Linked DNA regions of Bombyx mori. The protein of the gene in region 3 interacts with the protein of the main gene of each other region in a pairwise test. Links are inferred from orthologs where the notes say so. Each region holds a gene or a part of one and is shown on either strand. Other genes may lie near its edges.

Region 1 (5,024 bases), on a different chromosome or scaffold from region 3:
TTTATCAACTTATGCAATTATAAATCGAAAATAATAATTTAATATTAAAACAACAATGAAATAAGACCACGCTATATTTACAAACATTAACAAAAGCAAAACATTAACTGTCCCCTTCACACTCATAACCTAGACCGCGCGACGGAGATGGGCAGACTTTTCATGATGTGCATGCGGCAGTGCGACGTCACGCCGCGCGCTTATTCACAAACACTACACAAGTGCAACGTGTGAATGTGTTTAACGTGAGCTACCTAGTAGGCGTAGTGGGGGGTGTCAGGTTATTTTCGTTACGGAATTTCTTGATTCAGTCGCCGCGCTCAAGGCCCGCGATAGAAGCTATGCAGTAGCTTAAAAACAGTTATGAGTATGTAACGAAACATAAACACAATGTTAGTGTTTGTCTTTGTCTAATTACAGTATAGTAACCGGAGACATAGTTTAGCAATATGCATAGCAATGTAGGTCATTTTGTTTTTTCCAAATCATGCAGTACCTATTGATAAAATGGAGGATTGGACCGCGGTTGTAAAATAAAAATAGTATGTACTTAGTTAATTTATTTTCATGAGCACACAATTGTGCTATACAGTTACAGTATTTTAGAGTTAAAAGATAAAACTATTTTCAACAAAATTGTGCATTAGCTTCGAAACTCCTATTTTATTAATTATACAATAAAAACGTATGACACGAACGTTACACGTGAAATTTCATTTGATTAATTATTCCATAAATACAGAAAATTTTTAAACAAAAATTACATTTTTGATGGTAAGTTGTAAGAAAAAAATAATATATATATAATGGCAATGATATTGCTGGTACTGTCTCCATGGCAACGCCTTACCGCGTTTTGTTCTAAATAAAACTAAATACAACGTGCAAACAAAAATACAAACAAAAATAAAAAAATTGTGTATTTTAATTTTATTACTGTATTTTCGATTGCACTTTGTTCACTTAAAATACTTAAACTACGTATTGAAACGCAATACAACTAAAACTACAGTAAAATGACAATATTATTTTGTTATTCTGTTAAAAAAAAACCCAAAAAAAAATTCGTTTGCATGATTCATTGTACACTGCGACAGGTATGTTCTGAATTTATAGTGTCCTACAAAATTACTGTTCGCGTTGGCAATTTTAATTTAGGCTTCCTGCAGATGATAAAGTATCTGAAACAGCGTCGTTAGAACATACAACAGTAAAAATGCATAGAAAAAAAAGAAGAGAACCAAGCATTATAGCTCTCGATTTGTAGATATAGAAAAAAGTCGCGCTAAACATTACATTAGCTACAGTAGAAAACATCCAACAATGATCTTATTAATAATACATTAAATTGATAACAAATTTTGATATTATACCTTATTTAATGCCGCCGTTTGAGCGGATAATGAAACTTAATTATTTATTTATTTATTTAAGGATTTTTTAAACTGGTTCAATTATCTTCAAAGACCTTCTATATTATACCTAGTTAGAAGCGAACGGCTGACAGACGTAATAAAAGGAACTGGATTATAATAAATAATAATTCAGAACACAAAAAAAAAAATTACATTTCATTTATTTGTAATTTCTTAAGTTTTTTGTTTGTATTTTTTTAATGGCAAAACGATGTTATCTTTAGGCCAAAATGCTTCGGAAAGGAATTTCGATTTTTTTAGTTATTATATTTATTGCCTCTTCTACACTAATATTTTCTTTGTAAAACGAAATTGACTTTGCAACAAACAACCAGTCCCTTTATGAAGAATGGATATAAAATCTCGTAAGACCAAGGTTTTTGTAAATTGAAATATATTATTCGCTCGCTACAGACGATGCCGAGTGAACGGTGACGTATGCCGGGTTTACACGCTTGCCAGACGGCCGTATCCACACATATAAACACGTAGACACGCAATTTGTATTTGTATTAATTAAGATTCTTAGGATGTTCTTTCGTGATCTACAGTCTACAGTAAAATCATTTTTTTACGGACAAATCAGAGTTCGAGATGCTAACGCACACACACACCCGCACAATTGGCAACATATCCGTTTGCGTGTAATATAATCTATGGTACTGTTTTCGAAAGGTGACACAACCGGTTTTTTTACCGCCAAATTAATGGTTCACGATACAATGCATGCAAAAACTACAAATTTAATCTCTGCCTTGCTTCTTTTATGAGGTCTGTAATACTATATGGGCGGTGGAGGCGAAAGACAAGCGTGTAATTCCGAAACTGCAGCTCTTTTCAGCTTAAAAAAGGGTGCAATCTTTAATTATTTTGTGAACGTGACGTGGTTTCTTCCCTTTGAATTTCTTGTCTCGGCTGACTTTATCTTTGCGTATCTCCCTCACGAGCGTGTAGAAAGCGTCGTCAACTCCCATGCGTGTTTTGGCCGATGTTTCGACGAACGGAACATTATAGCTTTGCGCCACCTGCAATAATATTGTTACGTATTAAAATAAGGAGCATACGTCCCACCACATTGTGTGCGATCATAAATCCTTATAAACATCAACAATACCCGGGCTTAGCTAAGCAGGTGGTGGCCGGTTTTCCATATTTGAGTTGTAAGAACTTATTTTACTCTCAAGAAACATGCTTAGAGTTATCGAAATTGAGGTACTTTTTTGAATCAGTTGTGTAACGTAAGTTAATATAGGTGTATAGGGACTTTTTGGTTTTAATACTCTTGCAAAGGTCTTGTCCAAATTAAATTACTGGTAATGGAATTATAACAGAGGTCATAAATGTCAATCTCTGGGGTTATTAATCAGAAGATACGTATGTGACCTAGGCCACCTCTAGATTATAACTACTCCCATCACTCCTCAATCATCGGTCCATATTCCAACATAACTCATATCTTTATACTTAATTCCGGTTGCGAGTACTTCTATTGGTGCGGAGCACTGTGAGTTCCCAGAGGCTACCACAAGCAAATCGATATTGTTATCATGACGTGAAAGTTTAAACTCAACGTCCATCTGATTAAAAACGATAAACTGGGACATAAGAGACAGATATGATATAGACAATGCAACGTGAGATCAGCTGTAGTTGTTAAACAATCGGGATTTCGACCTCATGCCTCGTGGTTCACGTTGCGATGTCTATGGACTACGGTAATCAAGGTGGGTCGCGAACTCGTTCACTGCTCTCGGCAATAAAACAATTATAACTTTCAGACTATGATGTCCACGGGCCGCGGTAACCACTTAATATCAGGACCGCCTCTTTGTTTATTACTACGTCCCCGCTATTGAACATAAAGTATGCTATGCTTCTCTCTTAGAGATCGCTCTTAGAGATAATACCGCCAATTGTACTTTTTTCTTGTATTTAATGTTTAGCATTTTACAGAAGTCGTCGTGGCCCAAAGGATAAGATGTCCGGTGCATTCGTATCTAGCGATTCACCGGTATTCGAATCCCGCAGGCAGGTACCAATTTTTTTAATAAAATACGCACTTAACAAATGTTCATGATTGACTTCCACGGTGAAGGAATAACATCGTGTAATATAAATCAAACCTGCAAAATTATAATTTGCGTAATTACTGGTGATAGAACCTCTTGTGAGTCCGCACGGGTAGGTACCACCGCCCTGCCTATTTCTGCCGTGAAGCAGTAATGCGTTTCGGTTTGAAGGGTAGGGCAGCCGTTGTAACTATACTGAGACCTTAGAACTTACATCTCAAGGTGGGTGGTGTATTTACGTTGTAGATGTCTATGGGCTCCAGTGACCACTTAACAACAGGTGGACTGTGAGCTCGTCCACCCATCAAAAAAGGCAATAAAAAAAAACTTTTTTACAATTTACTTTTTTGGTTTACATTAGAACACTCTCTCTCTCTTCTAAATTTGGTTTGGAATTATTCAAATATAAACCGTGACGAGAGCTTAAAAAATTTCATTTGATAAGTGAAAAACCGACTTATCGATGCAAAGACGATGCTCAACATATGACGTTAGCTGATATTATTAACGAATCACTAAGTCATAAGCTGACGTTCTTAGCTGTCGTTGACGTCACTGATCGAACGAATGACATAGGCGAAGGGAAACAATGGCCGCTAAACGACGTCATGTTTTTGTATTTGTTAAGCGATATTATGGTGATAAACATTTATGGAACTTGTATTTAAGTTAAAATTAAACGTGTTTACATACAAAGTTGTTTGTTTTATAGCTATGGATAGACATATGTCTGATGGACATTTTTAAGGTGGGTGGCGCATTTACGTTGTAGATGTCTATGGGCTCCAGTAACCACTCAACACCAGATGGGCTGTGAGCTCGTCCAACCATCTAAGCAATAAAAAAAATCTGACGTCAAATGGTTACAGCAGTCCTCCTCAAAAATTGATCGTCACCAGAAAACTGGAGCGAAAAATGATAGAGTCCAATACGCCTAACAGGCCGAATCAAGGTCGCCGAGACATCATGTGCAGCTGAGAGTCGGAATTATTGGAGGAACATCATACGGAAAAATGGTGATCACAACCTCCAGCATTGAGGATTTGACGCAAGGAGATTGCAGAGGTTACCGGAACCTATCGACGCTGCCACACGACTTGGGACATGAATTCCATCTCAATTGTATTAAAAATATATCATACTAATAATATAAATGTAGTTTGTGAAGACTTTTGGTGTTTGTTACTCAATCATGCTTAAACAGTTAATCAGATTTGGATGTAATGTTTTCCTTTGGGATTCCAACTTTGATCAAAGTTTAGTTCTGACATTCATTAATATATGGTATTATAGCTTTAATCATAATACACATTATAATCACAGTGATGGCTTCCCATGGGAATAGTTTAATTTTAATATTATTTTAACTGGGATTTAATTTGGCAGAAGTAACTATTATAATCATTCCGATTTCCTCAGTTGATGGCGTGCGTGTCGATTTAGATAGCGTAATAACAATATGGTTTCATCAACGTGATTAAAAACTTCTTTGTTTTAAAGAATTTAAAGATTGTCAATCTGTGTTATATGTGATAATAGC
Region 2 (6,853 bases), on a different chromosome or scaffold from region 3:
TTCTTGTTCGCTGTAGTTTTAGAAGCCGTGAGCAGGATATAATGATAGTGGAGTGCAGAGTGCGGTGGATAGATAAGGTGTTGAGGTTGAACGCGCCGGAAGTACAGTCCGAGGCGATTTTTATGCTAATGTTCTAGTTAATTTTTGGCGCAATGCTCACGAGTGAAAATGAATATAAACTATTTTTCGAATAGTCTCGAATTATTTTGAATGAAAAATGTTATAAACCAGTTATCTTCGTTCACACTTGTTTACTTACTATAAAACCATTTTTCAATTAACGAATTAGGTTAATTGGATCAGGTTTTCTTTTTTTTTAAAACAATGACGTAATTCATAATTTTGCGTCCCAAATAAAAACGAGTTGTTGTAACGAAATGTGATTTAAATAAGTTTACATTACCAAAAAAGTACATGGGAAAATATCGTAACTGCCCACATTAACAGCCCGTTTACCGCCCACTTTTCGAAGAATGTTCTAGTCGTTATGTAATCCAATTCATTTTAATTGAAAATAAAAGAGTTCTTACAATTCGCAAAATTATTCGCGACCAGCTTATACGTGAATAACGACATTATTAATCGTGTTTGTTATTCAAATTATTCAAGTTCAACTATTCTATTGTAATTTTAGAGATGTATTCGTAAGTAATTACCATGAAAACAATTCCGTCCAATTGGGTTTTAAAAATTAAATTTTAATCATATTTCCGCCTCGAATTACTTATGAATCTTAAAATTGTAGTCTTAAAAACACAAATTTTTGGATTAAAACTTTAGTAGTGAACGAAATAGAATTTAAAAAAAATTAAGATAATTTTTACACGTTCCAAGTCGTAGATATCGGATTGTCGATGCACTGGTTTCCACAAAATCATATCGCACTCGAAGGAATTTACACTTATCGCTATGTATTTTTACGTACCTACAGTTATCATAAAGCAAATTTCATATTATAGAAAACGTATAGGTAATCTGGTTTCGGATATAGTTAGTTGTATTGAATCACAATTTGACCCCGCTGCGTAGATAAGCAAGCTAGACGTTGCCTAACATCCTGATAAAAGCGAATTGTTTTTATGCAGCGTACTTATACTGCATTGTTATGCAAGTTTTACTCTGCATTCCATTTCAAAACGAAATCGGGAATTCGAAAAACTTGTAATAAAACGCTCTTATGAATGTGATCAATAAAGAACGTATTGCGTGGGAAGTCTATATAGATCCAGAGCATTCAAATTGTGACCTTTACATTCACGGCTTTTCAAACCCACCATATTGCAAATTAAGTTTAATTTAGCTTCATAGTTCATCCCATGGTGTGCTCGATCTATGCGTTAGATCTTGTTACACAATATGGGGTGTGCCAGTGGTGAATTAATATAATACTTATTTTATCTAACTAGCTAGATTGCTTGATTATCATAGTTCTGTCGTACTTTGTTAGAATTACGTTAATATGTAGGACTGTGTCAATTCTTATGTTACTAGAATGTCGACATACGACCGCCACGTCTCACTGCGTTTATATTTAATATTATTGTGTGTTCTATAACGTGTAAGCAACACTTTTTATGTATCTTTTTTACACTGAAATAAAATAGTAGCAGATGATGTGCTGTCGTTTAATTTGATTATAAACCATTAAAATTCTCCGAGTCAATTGGTGTTTATTTGATTGTCGGTGGGGGTACGTCGCGCCAGGACCGATAGTTGTACCATGACTCATCAGACACTAACCAGGTCAATTGACATGAGGGGAGCATCACGGGAGGGACAAAATATACCCTAAGACATCATATTTAAAATTGGTTTTATTGATAAATTTGCAAAAGAAAAAGAAATTAATATTTATTGTACATGTCGATTATTATTGATCGAAAGATAAAAATATACAATATTTTCTTTGATTTGCACAATATATATAAAAAAATATAATTAAAAACTCAGATCAAAGTTTTTATACCAATATCCTTGTGCAGTAGTCATTAACTTTAACAGAAGAAAAATTGAGGAAACATCTAATTCTCGTAACAATATTTCAAACATCTATCATTACTTTTAACAAAGTTCTAGCAGCAAAACGTTGGCTGGTATTTAATTAATATTAAAAAATGAGACTGTAATTAGTAAACTTCATTTTATTTATAATAACGATAATTTTTATTTAGAACTCTTTATATTTTTAGGGGTCAATTGTACAGTGCCAATGGTGTAAGCACAACAAATGGCACAGGACTCCACCATAGAGACATCAACAACTATCTGCAGGGTGCAATCACCTAAGGCTTCTCTAAAATTTAAATTTATCAAGTTCTAAACTGTTACGCTAACATTCTCTTCAATACACTTGAATTATATAACAAGACAATAATATATCTGAAAAAATTTAATGTATCCTTAATTATTAAACATTACACTGGTTCAGACCAGCTGGCACAGAATACACCGAGCTTGTCTTCTACAGCCTCCGTCTAAATGTCACATAGACATAACGGATAATTCCAATCAGTACAATTAGACTCTAGTTAACAACCTTATGTTAGGTCCAAACAGCAAATAAAAACTAAATGCTTAATAACTGGCATTTTAACAATTTCAAATGAATAATATGAATTGTTTGTTTAATGCGTGTGCCCTTGATGCGTTTCATGGCAAATGTGTTGTTTTCTCAGGAATTTTCCTGTGTAATTGACAGAAGACTGTCTGTACCCAACACGGTTATTTATAATAACACAATTCATAAAATTTTCCACTGAATTTTGAAAAAAAAAATGGAATTGATTCTAATACTGAGGAGGCCATGGAGAGTGCATGCTGACATCGAAAAATATTTACTGTGGAGTCTATTACGGTTTGTTCAATCATATACTTTGAAGTTTTAGATAAGAATGGGACACACTCCCCATAGGCTCAAAATACAATGTTTTACATCATAAGTAGTAAAGGAATATTTTTTTTATAATCATTTACAACTTCGCAATCTAACCGCATCCACACAATACAAATGGAATTTTCTAGAGTGAAACACACAAAGACAATGAATTTATCCTCAAATACTGTACTATCAAAATAGAGTAAGATATTATTAACTACGCCTGTACAGAGAAAATGTGGTTATCATCAGTGACACTGGATTTCACGAGTGTTACCGCACATGTAATATACAGTGTAACAAACACACATTCTCATACAGGTATTTTGAAGCAACAATGTTCATCACCCGACCTAGATAAACTTTGGGAACTGCCGAGAGCCAAATCTGGGTACAAGAAGTCTTTCAAATTATTAAATATATTTATACCTAGACGCGTCGGAGACTCGTACAGCACTCTTACAGAATAATACATTTCCGTTTATTAGGTTTGTGTTCATCCTTCTTGGGGGACTTCTTGTTGATCTGTCTCACTAAGTCATAGAACACATCGTTAACATGTATTTTCGCTTTTGCCGACGTCTCCATGAAAGCGCAGTTGAAGTGGCGCGCCAGATTTTGTCCCTGTTCCTTGCCAACCACGCGCTCCGCCTCTAGATCGGTTTTGTTGCCTACCAGAACCATTGGCACGTCGGTCGTGTCCTTCACTCGCAGGATTTGTTCACGTAGATCCTGTAGGTCATTGAACGTAGACTGTGCTGTGATAGAGTACACCAACACGAACCCTTGCCCGTTCTTCATGTAGAGATCCCGCATCGCGGTAAACTGCTCTGTACCTGCGGTATCCAGGATCTCGAGCATACATTGCTGTCCATCAACTTCCACTTGTTTCCTGTAGCTGTCTTCGATGGTTGGGTCGTATTTCTCGACAAAGATGCCTTGTACAAATTGCACTGTCAGGGCGGACTTTCCCACGCCTCCGCTGCCTAACACAACTATTTTGTACTCGCGCATTATTCCCTATATTGTGTCACTTGAATTTGTTTATAGAAATTAAAGATCAAATCGGTAATAAGCACATTAACTTGGTAATTATTGCAAAAAAAACCTTCAACAAGTCAAACCGCCATGACACCGTTAAGAGGGCGATGGCTCACTATGTTAGTGTTGCTGACTTGAAAAATTAACCTGATTTCCCATTGACTACCTACTATTCAGTTCACTAGTATTAAGAATATAAATATTTCTACTCACAAACTATAGTATATCGACTCGGCTAATTTAAATAAAACTATTTTTGTTTCGTGTTCTACTTTTAGCAGACACAGAACGACTAATAAAAAATCATGAACAGGACGCTGCACAGGACCAGTACAATTATTTCATTTAGAACAATCAATTGTACTGACTAGCGAATAAATGCATTAATTTAACAAATTTTCGTAAAAAATAATTTTATAATATTAATTAGTGTAATTTTTAAAAAAAGGAATCGTATGTTATTTGATAAATTTTTCGTTTTTTTATCTATGTAGCTAGTGTAGCTACGCAAGACAATTTTTATTTATTTAGACTGCTAATAGTTCTAAAAGCTGTGTACAGAGGGCAGTGCAACAAATTTTCAAAAGGTTGTCGCTAAGGACACGACACTTTAGGGAGAATTAATTGTTATCAGTATAAGCTATATTATAAATTTTATTTCTTTATATCATCCTCCTGTTTATTTTTTATTTAATGAAGCAATCTCAGTTTTAAAGGAGGCCGTTCCAATGAATAAAATGGTGTCTTCAAATGCCTCATGCTTTAATACGACTGGGTCGCGAGATCTCCAGGGCTTTTTTTTGTTTATTGCCCTTGTAGGCAGACGCAGTGGCGGATTTACCCTAAGGCCCGGTAGGCCCGGGCCTAGGGCGGCCAGATTTAAGGATTTAACGTATGGCGGGCGGACTGCACTGCATGATGCAATCTATACCGCATCCTTAAATATTCTTCTGTTTTTTAAACTATTTTTTTTCCTACTTTTCTAAATCTATTTAGCTAAAAGTTGGCAATAAAGTAATTTCATTATGTAGTCTATATGGTGGATGCTGAGAAAGGGGCGGCTAATGGCTTGGGGCTTAGGGCGGCCGAGACTGCAAATCCGCCACTGAGCATACGGCCCACCTGACGGTGAGTGGTTACCGTTGCCCATGGACTTCAACAATGCCAGGGGCAGAGTCAAGCCACTGGCTACCGCTTAATACTCTCCACGAGCCTCGTTTGAAGAAGGACATGTCATAGCGCTCGGGAAACACCGTGGAGGGGAGCTCATTCCAAAGCCGGATGGTACGTGGCAAAAAAGACCTCTGGAAACGCACTGTCGATGAACGCACGGTTCCAGATAATATGGATGAACTCTGCTCCGATGGCGTGAGGTGCGATGATAAAAAGGAGATGAGGGGATCATATCAAACAATTCTTCAGAGCACTCCCCATAGCACATACGGTACAAAATACAGAGGGAGCCGAAGTCCCTCCGCAGACCCAGAGGCTCCAAACGATCCGTGAGAATGGGATTATCGACAATCCGGACCGTCCTCTACTGTATGGAGTCAAATGGAAGAAGCTTGTATTTGGGAGCCCCGGCCCAGAGATGGGAGTAGTACTCCACGCGAAGCCGGACTCGTGCTTTATAAAGCAAGTCTTTGTCCAGGCGTGAAGTACCGCTTCGCTCTGTTGAGGACTCCCAGCATTTTGGACGCTAGCTTGTCTTTACTTTCTAAATGACTCCGAAATTGGATATCGCTCGAAATGTCGACCCCAAGTATCCCTATACTCTCGGAAGGTTGCAGGGATAATCCTTGGAATTGCGGCGCCATGACAAAGGGGTCCTTCTTTACTAACTTTCTTTCACTAACTAAAGCCCACAGATCTACTTGTACAAGTAAAATTATTGCGTTTGAATTGTGAAAAGATTACATTCTTGAAATGCATGTTGTAAGTTGATAATTTACTATTAGTCTTTGATTGCATACCAGGAAGATGATTCACGGAGGTTAACGTCTTCAAGAATGTGCCCAGTCGTGAAGCTGTAAGTCATGTCAAAGTGAGCCATATATTGTCGAGTCAAACACATTTAATGGGTTAACACGTAGAATTTCTATGATTCCGAGGCTGCCCTCGTCTATGAGAATTAAAAAATATGATAATTATTATTTATATTTTACATTCATACGGACAACGCTTCTGTGTATTCTCTGATTGAGTGAAGGAAGATGTAGGGTGATACTATTGAAGTTTACATAAATATTTATTGATTGTATTATATAAGCTCGAAAGGGCAGGTCGCGAATTATACGTCGGCTGGGCGTCCTTGGGGTGAGCCGCGCCGTCTGGTTGTAGAGTTGACCGCGGTAGCCCCCCTACCTCATCCGGGTTCTGACCTCGGAGGGGATCGGACGTCGGGTGTAAGAGTGCAGGGGAGTCGTTTAGTGGGTGGGTCCTAAAATCCTTGGGCCCGCGGTCTGCTCACAACACCATGCAGATCGTTGAGTCTCACATACCCCGCGCGCCCCTTTTGCGCGGGGACCTCGTAGGAGGTTCGGCCCTCTACCCGAAAAAAAAAAAAAAAAAAAAAGGTCGCGAATTATAACTAATACGTTAAACTAATATGCCAAATCGTGCCAAATCGTGGCGGGTTTCCTTAAGCGAATAAAAATAGCAATAATGAATTGGTTAAGAAAAGTTGGGAAAAAGATAGAAGTAGACCCCCTGATTATGTAAAGAAATCGATAATGTAGGAGCAATCTGGCAATAGCAGCTCATAAACAGGGTTGTCAGGACAGTAAAATTAAAGAAAAAATTATACAGCTCATCGCCAACTTTGGAACGATTTTTTTTATTGCCCTCTTAGGTAGACGAGCACACGGCCCACCTGATGGTGAGTGGTTACCGTCGCCCATGGACTTCAGCAATGCCAGGGGCAGAGCCAAGCCGCTG
Region 3 (6,361 bases):
GAACTAATGTCTCAAGGTGGGTGGCGGTATTTCCGTTGTTTTGTCTATGTGCTCCGGTTACCACTAAACACCAGGTAACGTAGGCCGTAAGCTCGTCCACCAAATCTAAGCAATAAAGAAAAACTGTTATTATTTTCATTGCAATGAAAAGTATGTTAAGTTTTATAATTTATCTTTAATTTTTACCTTCGAGTGTAATTCTGATCCGGGTAAATGAAGTTGCGTGAAGGCGAGCAGCTGTTGCAGTGCGGGATGGTGCGGCGGCTGCCGAAAGTCCTCCGGATATGTGTCCAACCACACGTGGAGACACGCTACAAGAGTCCTGAAATATAGATAATAATAAAACAAATAGTAAACTTATTATTGCAAAAACACAAACAGTTACACGAGCGAAATAATTCGACCAGCTGTTTTGAGCTATATTGCGCTCATTTACATTCTATTAGCTGTAGCGTCTGTACACAATTTAATCTGATTGACAATACGCTAACACATGGTCACCTCTTTTATATCAGGCCCGATATTTTTCAGGTATAGGAGTAAATCCTGGTTCAAATATGAAACGTTTGTGTTCAACAAAACAAACTTTGTTATTATTTTAATTGCGAGGCCAACACGGCCTTTTGTATACAACAAAAAAGTTGTCGATTATTAAGATGAACTTTAGTGAAATAAGAGCGTAAAAAATCCACATCAGCTTTCTTGCACCCGTTTTAATTTTTATGCAAATACTTTTAAAGCTAGCTTAGATAAAATTCCTACCATCCCTCGAAAGTAATTCGCGAAGTAATAAAATGTTTCGATTTGAAGGTTGGGCCTCATGTCTCAAGGTGGACGTCGCCATTTACGTGGTCTGTGGGTTCTGATAACCACTTAACAGCAGCTCGTTTACCTGGCTATGCAATAAAAAAAAAACTGGAACTCAACTGTATCTTTAGTAAATTGAAACACAAAACATAACGAAATCGTGAACTACACTATTTGCTTCATACTATTTAATAATGTACGCACAATTTTTAAATACTTTATTCGAAGCTCTCAGTGTTTATATAACGTGACATTTTGTTGATAGTTACAATCATTAATGCAAGTTAATAAATTGTTACATTATCTGAACATAACAAATAAAAAAAAATTAATATAAAATGGGATTTTACAAATAAAATGAAATTCGAAAATGGTAGCCCCGTAAAGTTTACAATGACAACTTATTTACGTCTTACACCCCATTATTTTCCACCTATTTTTGCCACGAAGCAGTAATGCCTTCCATTTTGAAGGATGGGGCAGCCGTTATACCATAACAGTGAGACTTAGAGCTTTTATCGCAATATCTTGAAGTTTATGGGCTTCGCTAACTACTTAACACTAGCTGGGAAACAAGTTGATTTATCCGTCTAAATAACAAATAACTAATTAATAACAACACTACAATCTAATTCTTCATCTTAATAGAAATTACGTGAAACATACTTTCGGTGTTGTTGTGATGTGTCAGTCGCAGCGGGAAGTATGTCCTCAGCGGCAAGGGTTTCATACCGTCGCAGCAGGAGATCCAGAACATGACTGCATTCCGCGAATGACCTGAAAATGAAATGACAATAATTTGTGATAGCAGTTTTATCGTCATAGACATCATAAGTTGAATGCTGACATCCACCATAGGCCATGAAGTCAGAGTGTTAATTATATAAATATAAGTAATGCCGTGAAGCAGTAATGCGTTTCGGCTTGAAGGCTGTGGCTGCCGTTGTGACTATACTTGAGACCATAGAACTTATATCTCAAGGTGAGTGGCGCATTTATGTCGTAGATGTCTATGGGCTCCAGTAACCACTTAACACCAGGTGGGCTCTGAGCTCATCCACCCCTCTAAGCCATAAAAAATAAAAAACCCATCTGGCAGTAATTGGTTAGCGTCGCCTATGGATAGTAGCAATGACAGAGACACCGTCAGCCGAAAGAATTAGTCGTACCTATAGATACTATACATATTATCATTTGAAGATTCGATTATGTAATAATTGAAACTTCACTAGTCATTAAAGTTATCATGTCTATGAACTGAACTACTTGAGGTGTATACGAACATACATTTTAAAGTTTAAAAAAATCGTATCTTTTGTTAAATTAAATATGAATCGGAATCTAAATCTATCTTCTATATAAAAATGAATTGCTGTTCGTTAGTCTCGCTAAAACTCGGGAACGGCTGGACCGATTTGGCTAATTTTGGTCTTAAATTATTTGTGGAAGTCCAGAGAAGGTTTAAAAGGTAGATAAATATGAAAATGCTGGAATTAAATAAAAATAACAATTTTGTTTTTCCTTTGATGTGTCCCCCCTCGGTCGGATTCCTTTTGTTTGTTTTATTTTAAACAAAAGCTTATTTATCTCTCTTTTATTTATCGATTGAGGCACTACGAAGTCTGCCGGGTTAGCTAGTTATAAATAAGTAATAGTAATAACCGGTACGTCGCGAGGAACACATTGACGTATGTGGACTCGAGTTCGCCGTCGTCGGTAGCGAGCGCCTCCACTAGCCGCTCGACTGTGCCGGCTTTTACGAACCGTACACGTACGGTTTCCCACTCTAAATGTGAGATCTCGTCGTCAGACTCCTGGAAAATAGGAACGAATTTAAAAAGTTATATCGATTTTTTAAACCAAAAAGGATCTATGTTTATCTTTAAAGTGTTGTTGCATGTGTAGCCTACCGTAAAATGTTCTCGATGGAAAAAGGACCTAAAAGTGTAAATAACTACTTCTGACTAATATTAATTCTGACTAATATTTAGGTGCCCGTTATTAAACAAAACATAATTTTGTATGATTAATTGCTTTACAATGAAATCTATTGAATTTAAATAGGCCCTTATTAGTTCGAATTATGAAATTTTCAGAGTACTCACAGTTTATCTAATTACGCTTGTTTAGATATTAAGATTTTAGTTTAGATATTAGATAACATTGAATCACTACCGACCATTGTAAAGTCATTCATAATTTCGATACGCAGTACTAATTATGTTTAACAATGGTCTAGCGCCTACCTCTTCTCATAATAACCCAATCACTAGATAAATACCGTGGGAAAAGAAACTCATTTGTTGCATCTTCATCATAATGTAGACACGCAATTACCTAAATAATTGTTACAAGCAAAAGCAAGAATAGTTTCATGGAAAAAACATTTTGCATTTTTAGTAGTAGTTAATGGCTTCAAAACATCTACTTCTCTGTGGTGATGTGAGTCTGTTTATACCCAATTCCACATGCATAGTAATAATCGAAATTGGACTGCAATCACTAACACCGCAAATTTTAAATTCATACTATTAATACATTTTCTTGTAAGGTACTGATATTTTCGATACGATTTATTTTCAGAAAATGTTGTTTTATTCGTGTTTTCAATAATCAACTCTTCCCGACATCTATTGGCGAATAATAATACTATTTTTCTTAATTGAGGGCAACTAACTGCTTTAAAGACACGAAAAGATGGCGTTTTCAAAAAAAAAACCGAGCAAACCTCCGTCATCATATAGTATGGATATAATACGTCATACGTAAAGTGAAAAAATAACAACGGGCGTGACACTAGTAACGACACTTACGTCTGATTTCGTTTATCACATATTACATTGAAACATCAAAACATACATTTATTAGCATAAACATTTAATATATAATTGTACGTAACTTCATTAATGGTGTGCACATTCATATTACTTTTGGTCATCCGGGATGTGAGTGCTGTATTAAAAGTTAAAACCAACATTATTGCTACGTACTGTTTTAATTCGACAACTATAATGTTATCGCGACCACCAATCGAATTAACAGCGTATAGGTACACTTGCTATTAGATGTTCGTTGTTCGATATTATTTGAATAAAATTGTCTACCTGTATGATAACATTTACGGATATATATATTTTTATTACATGATGTTATTCCTTCACCGTGGAAGTCGATCGTGAACATTTGTTGAATACATATTTCATTAGAAAAATTGGTACTGGCCTGAGATTCGAACACCGGTGCATCGCTCAACACGAATGCACCGGACGTCTTATCCTTTAGGCCACGACGACTTCATATAATTCTAGAAGAATATACTGATTATAATAAAGGAGTACGAATGGTTTTAAGGTGTAGTGACCTAATCAACTTAACTGTTAAACCAAAACAAGGCTTTGATACCTTATTTATGCATTTATTTTAATTTTGTTAATTTATTTTAATTATTCTTTATACAACTTATAAGAAATTGAATGTAGGCAGAATTCATACTATGGATTTTCTTTGACTCCACTTTTGGGTCATACCTCTTCACGGCCATGCTCTCACCGTTCTTATTCTTACAAAGAATTATGGAAGCAATAAAAAAGTAATATAATACAAATCTTTCCTACTACATTAATAAAATTAAATTAATACATACACATATATACTAGATGTACATATGTACTAAATGTAATATGTACCTATCTATAAATGCTTTAAGTTATTAATATTTATAGCTAAAGTGTTTCGAGTTTCCAAATTGTATACGATTTTGGGTTATGTTTATTTACATGATTCATCAAATAATTCGACCAGTTAACCTGATCGATACGCCAAAAAAGAAAATTGCTAGCCGTGTAATTGAGATTATTGCTAACACTCACATTGCGTTTTTTATATCGAAATGCTTATATTTATTGTTTATCTACATAGACTAAGAACAATGTAGTGAATTAATCGGTCGTCGCAAGACGTTGACTTTTTTTTTTAATTGTTACATGTTTGGACGAGTTCACGGCCCACCTGGTGTTAAGTGGTTACTGGAGCCCATGGACATCTACAACGTAAATGCGCCACCCAACTTGAGATATAAGTTCTAAGATCTCAGTATAGTTACAACGTCTGCCCCACCCTTCAAACCGAAGCGCATTACTGCTTCACGGCAGAAATAGGCGGGGCGGTGGTACCTACCCGCGCGGACTCACAAGAGGTCCTACCACTTGTACAGTAATCGTTTCGCAGTTTTCGCAATGAAAAAGTTGGAAATAATATAACGACAATAAAAAACGCGTGATTAAACCGTAGTAAAAAGTAGTTCTAAAAACGATATCCATTATTAGCGCTAAGCAAAAATTCAAATACATATCTATCAAATTAACAAATCCTTGGCGCCGAGGCGAGATAACAACAACACAGTAAAGTAATGTCTCCCTACAGCCTATCTTTGCTGTCGGAAACATTTGTATAGTTAAAAATACTTACACTTGAAGCACTTTTGGTAGGTCGATGGTAACGCACTTTCTTCAGATAAACGGTGTAGATGGCGCCGTCCACGCGCTCTTCCCCCCACAACCGCCATGTTGGCTGCTGGAACACACCAGAAATAGGTCAACACAAACAGCTTAAATTAAAACAAACATTAAACGCAAATAAAAAGCTAAATTTGAATCACAATTTAACTGTCAAGCCTACATTTTCTTCATCGAGGGTATGCTGCCTCAAACAGATAACACAATCTTCTAATGACAAAACGGACATTGCCGACAATTCATAAAACTCCCGGCGCCTGTGCATTCTAAATAATACTAATACGTTAAAGACAAACAAAGTTATATATGTCATCACCTTATAATCATTAAGTCGAATGATTACAAGTATTGCACCTTACAAGGAAAGATAAAGAACATGCAATAATTACATAGATCACTCGAGTCGGACAATATGGTATGCAATTGTATAACGCTTACATAATCATTATCTACGTTATCAGCAAACAGTACGGGCTCTGCCTTACTGACGCCGCATATTCTCCACATGGCCCATATCCGAGAACGTCACGCGCGACGTCACTTCGCTCAGCTGAGCGTCCCCCGCATCGCGCTTACTTTCACTACCACGGCGCGCTAATCTACGACATCACACTATAGTAACCATCGGCAAAACCAAAGAATCTTATAACTGGATCAATCAATGGCGAACACCGACTGAATAGGCTGGCAGCTCAGACGTGCGTGACTTTGGTGAAATCGCCGCACACTCGGACAGTGGCATACATGTCGACAACTGTATCCGGCTTGAACGTCCACTTTATAAGTATTTTATGTCAGCTAAAAGAATGCCCTATATATTTTTCATTAAATTTTACTCGAAAACAAAATCAATCACGAATAATAACGATTAAAGTTTCGTACATATTCAAATCAAAACACAAAATCATTCACAACACTTCCATTGAGCCATTAAAATATCAATTGTTAAGACGATAGTTGTACGCAATGTTTATGTGCTATTTCGATTGAAGACTAAAACTTTCACATCCACAGAACACTTAACTGGCACTTAAAGTTTA

Evidence for each region.
Region 1: the proteins of ral guanine nucleotide dissociation stimulator (region 3) and Ras1 interact in a two-hybrid assay, tested with the Drosophila melanogaster proteins (2 studies listed by BioGRID). The link is inferred for Bombyx mori from reciprocal best matches to the Drosophila melanogaster genes Rgl and Ras85D.
Region 2: the proteins of ral guanine nucleotide dissociation stimulator (region 3) and Ras3 interact in a two-hybrid assay, tested with the Drosophila melanogaster proteins (2 studies listed by BioGRID). The link is inferred for Bombyx mori from reciprocal best matches to the Drosophila melanogaster genes Rgl and Rap1.

Annotation. Positions count from the first base shown.
Region 1 is NC_085127.1:13,617,205-13,622,228, forward strand, and holds the end of Ras1 (ras-like protein 1), read right to left. Parts: exon of another isoform or gene 4,197-5,024; intron 4,123-4,196; exon of another isoform or gene 3,902-4,122; intron 2,441-3,901; coding exon 2,258-2,440; 3' UTR 1,617-2,257; downstream 1-1,616. UniProt on the Drosophila melanogaster protein: Ras proteins bind GDP/GTP and possess intrinsic GTPase activity. Plays a role in eye development by regulating cell growth, survival of postmitotic ommatidial cells and differentiation of photoreceptor cells.
Region 2 is NC_085112.1:14,077,211-14,084,063, forward strand, and holds Ras3 (ras protein), read right to left. Parts: upstream 4,001-6,853; 5' UTR 3,890-4,000; coding exon 3,335-3,889; 3' UTR 1,797-3,334; downstream 1-1,796. UniProt on the Drosophila melanogaster protein: Ras proteins bind GDP/GTP and possess intrinsic GTPase activity. Plays a role in photoreceptor cell determination.
Region 3 is NC_085110.1:13,023,508-13,029,868, reverse strand, and holds part of ral guanine nucleotide dissociation stimulator, read right to left. Parts: exon of another isoform or gene 5,829-6,361; coding exon of another isoform or gene 5,760-5,828; intron 5,380-5,759; coding exon 5,275-5,379; intron 2,622-5,274; coding exon 2,470-2,621; intron 1,585-2,469; coding exon 1,474-1,584; intron 323-1,473; coding exon 187-322; intron 1-186.